2 linked regions of the Sus scrofa genome follow. The protein of the gene in region 1 binds, or shares a complex with, the protein of each later gene. Links are inferred from orthologs where the notes say so. Each region holds a gene or a part of one and is shown in the gene's direction. Other genes may lie near its edges.

The links.
Region 2: the proteins of AAGAB (region 1) and AP1S3 are in contact, whole or in part, in a crystal structure (PDB 9DDT), measured with the Homo sapiens proteins. The link is inferred for Sus scrofa from reciprocal best matches to the Homo sapiens genes AAGAB and AP1S3. Residues at the interface, in NP_078942.3 of Homo sapiens: Asn51, Lys52, Tyr53, Tyr54, Glu108, Val109, Met110, Ile111, Gln128, Ile132, Gly135, Phe136, Glu137, Asp151, Phe153, Pro154, Glu155, Arg161, Gln164, Ala165, Asn167, Ala168, Asn169, Val170, Met176; in NP_001034658.1 of Homo sapiens: Arg10, Gln11, Lys13, Arg15, Gln37, Leu40, Ser41, Arg61, Tyr62, Ala63, Ser64, His85, Val88, Asp92, Phe95, Val98, Glu100, Leu101, Asp102, Ile104, Phe105, Asn106.

Annotation. Positions count from the first base shown.
Region 1 is NC_010443.5:165,137,344-165,141,148, reverse strand, and holds part of AAGAB (alpha- and gamma-adaptin-binding protein p34), read left to right. Parts: intron 1-1,820; coding exon 1,821-1,903; intron 1,904-2,742; coding exon 2,743-2,839; intron 2,840-3,805. UniProt on the Homo sapiens protein: May be involved in endocytic recycling of growth factor receptors such as EGFR.
Region 2 is NC_010457.5:125,634,318-125,638,859, reverse strand, and holds the start of AP1S3 (AP-1 complex subunit sigma-3), read left to right. Parts: upstream 1-1,644; 5' UTR 1,645-1,953; coding exon 1,954-2,073; intron 2,074-2,387; exon of another isoform or gene 2,388-2,555; coding exon of another isoform or gene 2,556-2,558; intron 2,559-4,542. UniProt on the Homo sapiens protein: Subunit of clathrin-associated adaptor protein complex 1 that plays a role in protein sorting in the late-Golgi/trans-Golgi network (TGN) and/or endosomes.

The DNA of each region.
Region 1 (3,805 bases):
GTAAGGGCCCTCTTGCATCAGTGCTCTATTACTCAGATAAATGCCTTTTGTACAAAGAGCCTAAAGTATTTTATAAGAACTCTCATGTATCCTCCTGACATGTAAAATCCCAGAATACTGTATAACTGCATACAACTGCTTTAAAGCCTATAGCACATTGGCCACAAGAAAAGATTATGTCAGTGTTTGAATGAACACCCCCAGGCTCTGTGAAACCCTCAGTGTGGGACACTTGTCTCAGCCTCTGAGTCTCCCCAGTCTGCCTCACTGAAGCCTGGTCCTGGGATGGGGCTCCCCCAGGTCTTGGGCCTGCAGAGTTCCTCATGGGTGGGCAGGTTGCTGAGAAAGGGGACTCCAGGAGTTCCCGTCGTGGTGCAGTGGTTAACGAATCCGACTAGGAACCATGAGGTTGCGGGTTCGGTCCCTGCCCTCGCTCAGTGGGTTAACGATCCGGCGTTGCCGTGAGCTGTGGTGTAGGTTGCAGACGCGGCTCGGATCCTGCGTTGCTGTGGCTCTGGCGTAGGCCGGTGGCTACGGCTCCAATTCAGCCCCTAGCCTGGGAACCTCCATATGCCGCGGGAGCAGCCCAAGAAATAGCAGCAGCAACAACAACAACAGACAAAAAGACAAAAAAAAAAAAAAAAAAAAAAAAAAAAAGAAAGGGGACTCCAGGAGTACGTGCACACCTTTCACCCCACTGCCACTGTTGAGGTTGTGGAGCAGGAAGCGCAGAGAGCAGCAGAGACCCTGGGTACTGCCCAGCGCCCCCCTAGCCTTCAAGCACAGGTACCGACCAGGTTAGTACCTCTGTACAAGTAGGCCAAGTGTACTACATGAGGAGATGGTAACAGGAGATGGAAAAAGCTCAGGCCTGGACCTCCCCGATGCTACAGTTGGGCTTCATCCTGATTTAAAGGCAAATCTCCCCAAGTTAAAATGGGAGTGAGGGGCCTGCAAGTGGTTTTCTTTCTGTGGGGTTCTGTCAACAGGTTTCACCCACCAGAGGCGAGGACTAGGAAGTTTGGAGGTTGTTGAGAGATGGGTGAGAATGGAGTCAGGGAAGTGATAGGGAGAGGAAAGTGAGGTGGGAAGAAGCCTTTTTGAGAGAGGAGTTCTTTGACCTCTATACTGTTAGACTCTTGAGTGATGTAGGTTTCACTTTCTACTCTCAGGCGCACTGGTTTTTTGTTTTTCCAATTTTCTTGATCCTAAGGACTCTCCTGGAGTACTTGCTAAAAGTTCAGACTCCTTGGTCTCTGTTTAGACAGAAATTCTAACTCAGTCCAAAGCAGGGTCAATATTCAATACTGGGGTAGTCACTGTCCAGGTGACTCTTGGGGAACCCTACCAAATCAGGGCTGGGTTCTGACATTTTGCTCTAGATTTGTCCTCCTTTGTAAATACAAATAGCGAGAGCATTGGGAACCATAACTGCACGAGTAGAGCTTTATTTCAAAAAAACATGAATGTTCATTTTTACCTGATAATAATACCTTGGTATTTGATTCTTTTTAATTTTAATTGTTTAAAACACTGCAATATTAGTTCATAATGACTGTCAGAACACCAGCTCTGTTAATCTTTGCAAACAGAACCACTGAGCAACCTTTTCTTTGTTGTAATGGCCTTGCCATCTACTTGACCTGGACTGATACTCTGTGATTTAAAATTTACCCAGAATTTGGAGAGTATGGTAAATGATGATAACTATTTTTTATAGTTAGAAATTTTATTATTAACTATTATGTTATTGTCACAGTCATTTTAACAATTTAAAATGTAAATAAAAAATTTCAGTGATTGTATTTTTTTCTTTTCAGAGAAGAACCAAGGCTTTAGCCTTCTTAGCTCATTGGCTGGAGCAAACCATAACATTGGATCAGCAGACACCTGCCATTCAGAGGTAGAGATTTTTTTCCTGGATCTTTTCTTTGCTTTGGCTTTAATTTCTACTCATCATTGTGAATCTTTACACCATTTATCATTTCTTCCCTTTCCATTTAAGAAGTGACTGAGAATATTAGAAATAGATAGAAGGCTAATCTAAAATAGCCCTTTTTATGCCTGCCACCTATTGAGAAAAGGCTATTTAGGCATTAAAGCAGTAAGCCCTTTCAAGATGTTTGCAATTTGTGCTGTTGCATGTGTTTTTGCTAAAGTGCTTTTAAAAATATGCCAGGATTTCCTTGAGGCATAAAGTTGCCTCTAGATCTTTAAATATAAAATAAAATTAATGGTTCTTTTTAAGTACTTCCTGTGTACTCTACAACCTGAAGCAAGGTACCTGCCCTTAATGAGTTTAATAAGCTGATTTCAACCCTCTGTCCTCAAGGACTGTGGTCCAGGACGGCTGTGGTCGGCAGGTAGAAGCCATGAGCACGTTCGGCAGTGCCATGTTGTCTTTCCAGGACCTTCTTCCTCAGTCTCTGAGGTCTTTGTGATAGGATCTTACACATTTTCAGATTTTGAAAAAAAAGCATGATCTTAAAACAAAACAGTATGTTTTAATAGTCAATAGCAAAATCACAACACTTGCTAATTTTTCCTTGAGGAAAAACACTCCTGAGTTAGTGGTCTTTTAGCCTTTCTTAATGTGACCTTGATCCTTGTTTCATCTCTCCTGGTCTCTAGTTCCTATTTCTACTTCTCTAAAGCTAACCAGTGGGTGGAAGTGTGAGCCTTTTTGGATTTAGTTCTGAAGCAGCTTCTTAAATTGTTGCTTGCGTGTGTTTTCCTCAACAGCAGCCCTGTTTGCCAGCAGCAGAGAGGACTGAAGCTCTCTTGGATCATCGAGGTGGCGCATCTAACACAGCAGACGCTCAGGTCGATAGCATTGTGGGTAAGCCCCTCCTCTGGCTGCCAAGTGACAGCTCTGTGGGACTTATAATAGTCCATGTATCGGGGCATAAATCATCTGGGGGGGAACTGACTTTAAACACGGACAAGGGAAGAAAATTGATAGTGCACCCCAAATGAATTGTGAGCCTTGTGGACGGATGTCAGAAAAAGGAGGGAGAAGAGTTCCCATTGTGGTGCAGCGGAAATGAATCCAGCTAGTAACCATGAGGTTGCAGGTTCGATCTCTGGCCTTGCTCAGTGGGTTAAGGATCTGGTGTTTCTGTGAGCTGTGGTGTAGGTCACAGACACGGCTTGGGTCTGGTGTTGCTGTAGCTGTGGTATAGGCCGGCAGCTGTAGCTCCGATTTGACCACTAGTCTGGGAACTTCCATATGCCGAGGTGCAGCCCTGAAAAGCAAAAAAAAGAAAGAAAGAAAGAAAAAAAAGGAGGGAGAGTAAATACATTACAGACCTGTAGGTACCATTTTCTTCTTGATTCTCTTAGCAGGATCTTGATTCAGATCATCTTAGCCAAAACAGACAGAAACAGATGGTGAAATAGCTTTCTATTTCCATATTCCACCGTTTTTGGTTCTTTTTCGTGTTTTTTTGTTTGTTTGTTTTTTGGCCACCCCATTGCATATAGAGTTCCCGGGCCAAGGATTAAATCCCAGCTGGAGCTGCTACGTACGCTCCAGTTGCTGCAACACCATATCCTTAACTCATTATGCCAGGCTGGGGATTAAACCTGTGTCCCCGCTACTACAGGGACACTGTCGATCCTTTTGTGCCACAGGAACTCCCATACAGTTTTTTTAATACTATTTCACAGTAGTCAGAATTGATGGTAACAAGAATAACACCTCTTTATAAGCCCTCTCATATCCTTTTAAAGTTCTTTTATGTCCACATTCTCATTTGGTAATGAATTTTGGCAGAGAAGTTATTTTACAGAGATAAGGGTGAGG
Region 2 (4,542 bases), on another chromosome or scaffold:
TTCCTGAACGCTGCAGAAGAGATTACTGGAGATGTTGATTACTTAAGACATGAACAGCAAGGCATTCAAGAACAGCGGGGTCAGGCTTCAATCAAACGTGTGCTGCCCTGGAGGAAGGGTAAGAGCTGGTTTTGAAGCTGGTGTCTCCTTTGCTTCTTTTATTTTTTTTTTAAAACTTGTAGCTTGACTCTTCTCAATTTCTAGAAAGCTGATATTTTGGTTTAGACTATCATCATTTTTGCTTTATCATCATGTTCTGTTTGTAACTCCAACCCTCCCTCTCCCCCCGCTTGGACTCCATGGTGGCTTTTTCTGTATTCGCGGTATCTTCCGTTACTACACAGTTATGGAGTGATTTGAGAAGTGAAACTCAAATCAAGTTGACACAACACCAGGGCTTTGTGTTGCGAGTAGATGTCCACGCCCAGAATCACACACATCAGCTCAGAGATGGCTTTGATCTGAACCATGTCACATACCACACCAGGCTCCCTGACTTAGGCTTATGACAGCAGATTTGCAAACCAAAGGCCCCTTCAGGATTGGACCATCTTCCCAGTGGAGCATTTTGATTTACAGGGCCCCTGGGTCCTAGAGTTCTCTTGACAGATGCCACCACCCCAGGTGGAAGCTATCAGGAGGTTGTTAGGTTTGCCGAGGGAGGATCGCTCAAGGCCAAGTTAGCAGAACAAAGGGGATTTATTAAGGCATCAGAGGAGCACAGGCTGAGCTCAAAATAGCACCAGCTCTGACCATAAAGAGATGTGGATATTTTCCGCAGGCCACTGTTTCTTGCTGCCCAACTTGAACCTCCACATTCCGGGAGAGGGTGTCCACAGCAGGTCTCCAGGGTGAACAGCCACCTCTGAGGGTTGGGGGGGGGGTCCTGTCCGATCCCCCTGGGAACCTATCAAAGGCCTGCGGCATTGAAAAATCCAGGACCAGGAGGCACTTGAGCTTACTGAGAATTTGCAGGACGAAGGCTGCAGTTGTCTTGGGGGCTTTTAGTGCACAGGTTGCCTTAAGGCAGGGAAGACCCATTGCCTCCTGCCCACCCTCTGACCTCCTCTAATTTAACTCCAGCCCCAGAGGCCCTCTTTGGGGTCTTTTGAGAAGGATGACTCTTTTTTTTTCCCCCTTCAGAGCACTCACCTCCACATCTCATGTCACCTCCTCAGGGACCAGCCCTCCCTGACGCCCCCGCTAAATAAATGCAGCTTCTGCTGTGCAGGTTCTAGCAACCTGTAGGCATTTTCGTGGTAATCTTCTCACCTACTTAGCACTCGTTACTTTGTAATTATTTATTTTGGTTATTATTCGCTGAGCCACGAGAAACTATAAGCTTCAGAAGAGAGCAGCTTGTTTGTTCCCAGCTGGACCCCTGCGCTCCTTCTGAAGGGCTGGGCACAGAGAAAGCGCTGATGAATGTGGCATCATCGAACGGGTGGATGCCCCCGCCCCCTGCGCCGCGCAGAAGGCACATCCTGAGAAGGACTTTCACCAATTTTGGTTCCAGAAACTCAGGCAAAGTTTCTTAACCTTTTTGGGGTCACACATGTCTTTAGGTAGTTGATAAAACCAACCGACTCTCCCAAACGAACATAAAATGCACTCCAAGCTCTGCTTACAATTTGGGGGTTTGGAAACTCCTAAGGCCCCAGGTGGAAACTCCAATCTTAAGAAAATCCAAGGGGAGGAGTAAGATTAGATACTGGACGCTACAGTTTTAGGAGATACCTCTTAAAACCCGGCCTATCTGAAATGACCCACATCCTTGTACTGCAGCCATATGTGTATTATACATACACGTGAGAAGAAAGAAATCGGAGGCAAGAAATCGCTTCTAATTCTAGCTCCGCCAAAGGCTCCCTCCCTTACGCGGTTTAGGACTACAAAACCAGTGACCCTTCCCGAACGCGTCTCCGGAAATCTCTTCGCTAGGTCTGCTAATGAATGACACACTCGCTCGGCAGAATCAGGAAAGCAGCCCCGCTCCGGTTTCCCCGCGCAGATCTGCTCTGCGGGGTCCACCAACGCCGGGCAGGGCAGGCCAGGTTGCAGAGGCGCGCGCAGGTATATTCGCACCTAAGGCAGCAAGGACAGCGCGGGGCGGGGCCCGATGCGGGCGCCGGGCGGGCGCGGGGCGGGAGGAGGGGGAAGAACGCGAAGCACAGTGGGAGGAGGGAGAAAGGGGGAGGAGGGAGAGAGGGGAGGGGGAGGAGGGAGGAGAGAGTCGGAGAGGGGAGAAGGGGGAGGAGAAAAGGGGAAGATGGAGACAAGGAAGAGGAGAAGGAGGAAGAGGAGAGGAGGAGGGGAAGGAGGGAGGTGGGAGGAGGGAGCGGGTAGGGAGGGAGATGGGAGGGGCAGGAGGGGAGGGAGGGTAGCGGCGCAGGGAGGAGTCTGCAAACTTTCACTTCGAGGGCATTGTGGGAAGCAGCCATGGTCTGAGGCGGGCACCGCACCTGTCAGCCGCGCCGGCTCCAGCGCTCGCTTCTCCTCCTCGCGTCCACCGCGCTCGCCTCTCACCCGCCGGGGATACCGGCGGCCGGGCCACCATGGTGAGTCCGGGTGAGCAGGGCGGTGGCGCCGACCCGGGGCGGGGACAGCCTGTGTGCGCGTTCCCGGGAGGCACCTGCTGCGCCGGGCCGGGCGCGCGGTCGGGTGGGGTAGTAATCCCATCCCGCCCCACCACCCCCCAACCCGTCCCACGGCCGGCGGCACGCCCAGTGGTCCCGGCGTGGCGGCCGGATGGTGCGGATGCGCCCGGGGCACCGTGGACGCCAGGTCGAGACTCTGGGCGCCGCTGCTTCATTCATTCGACGGGTTTGCTGAGCGCTTATTCTGTGCCAGGCACGGTGCCAGGCTCTGGAGGTGTCTCGGGGGACCAAGTGGAGCCCTTGCTTTTAGGGGCTTACCTTCTAGGAGGAGGATGTGGAAGGGGGAGATGAGGAATATATCAGTAAAATTAGGATAAGTTCTGAGAGTAAGTGTTCTGAAGTCTCCAGTGGAACCGTGTGGAGAGATCGAGATGGAACTCTACAGAGGGCATGCAGAGAAGGCCTCTTCCAGAAGGTGACATCTGAGCTATTGGAGATCCTAGGGGAGCAGGGCAGGTAGTGGGAGCAGAGAGAGCAAAGGCCAGAGAGGAGGAACCCCTGCTTGTAGCGAGAAAGATGGGCAGGGGCCAGATGAGGTAGGTCCTTATAAACCAAATTAAGGAGCGTGAATTTTATTCCAACTGAGTGGTGGAGCTTTGAGAGTGTTTTAAGCAAGAGAACTGACTTTATCCCTTCTACGCTTTTGAAAGATCGCTTTGGCTGTTTGTAGAGAGTAGGCTGGGGTATGTGTGAGCGGAGGATGTCAAAGTGGAGACAGGGAGACCAGTTTGCAGTGCTTCTGGTGAGAGATGCTGGTTGCCTGCACTTGCATTGAAGCAGTAGCTTTAGGCGCCTCTTGTTCTTGCTTTCTGTTTAGGGTGGTGTTTTGAGAGTGCAGTGGCCTGAACTGCCCCAGTTCACTTCCCCAGGTGAGCTCACTTCTCCAATTGAGGTGGGACAAAAGTGACCTGCATTCTCAACTTGAGTACCGGCCACAGGCAGGAGCAGGAGGACCATGTGGGTTAAGAAAGTTGATGGACAAGGAGAGCAGTGGAGTGCTGAGCCTCTGAATGGGAAGACCATAGACACTAGTTCCTAGGAAAGGTTTGGCTGCACAGACTGGACTCGCCATTGTTGTTTGTGGAGGATTGCTTGTAAATACAGCGTGATGCAAAAAGGAGGCTGTAAATAATGGAGCAGTTCTCTTGGCTTGCTCAGGTTTCCCAAGGGACAAGGCGACATGTGTGCAGCCCGCCGTATCATTTGCCTAATAGAGGGTGGAATAAGGCCCTGGAGTTTCTGAGTAGCAAAAAACTTCCATCCTGAGAGCCCGTGCAGACTCTATGCTCTGGACAACACCTTCGAGTTTTATTTTTTCTTGCTGGTGTCAAATAATTAGTTGATGAGAAATGTGCCGTGCTTCCCTAACTTCTTTACTAGAACTTACCCACCGGGAAATATTGATGTTACCTACTGAAGGCTTGTGATAACCAAGCAGGACACTCAGCTCTTTACCTTCATGATCTCAGTCAGTCCTTGTAACAAACAACCAAAAGAGGGTATTATGCTCTTTCACTTCGCCTGCTCTGACCTGTCCCAGCAATGTGTCCTTGGATCGCGCCTTGACCTCTCTGTGCCGCTTTGCTCATTTGTGAAATGGAGATTATAATTGTGGTCTGGGTACCCTTAGGAGTCCCCAAGAGTTTTCAGAGGTCCACAAGGTCAAAACTGTTTTCATAATAGCTCAAAGATATTATTTGCCTTTTTTTTTTTTTTTAGGGCTGTACCCATGGCACAGGGAGGTTCCCAGGCTAGGGGTCAAATCGGAGCTGTAGCTGCCAGCGTAAACCACAGCCACAGCAACGTGGGATCTGAGCCACGTCTGCGACCTACATACAGCACAGCTCATGGCAATGCTGGATCCTTAACCCACTGAGTGAGGCCA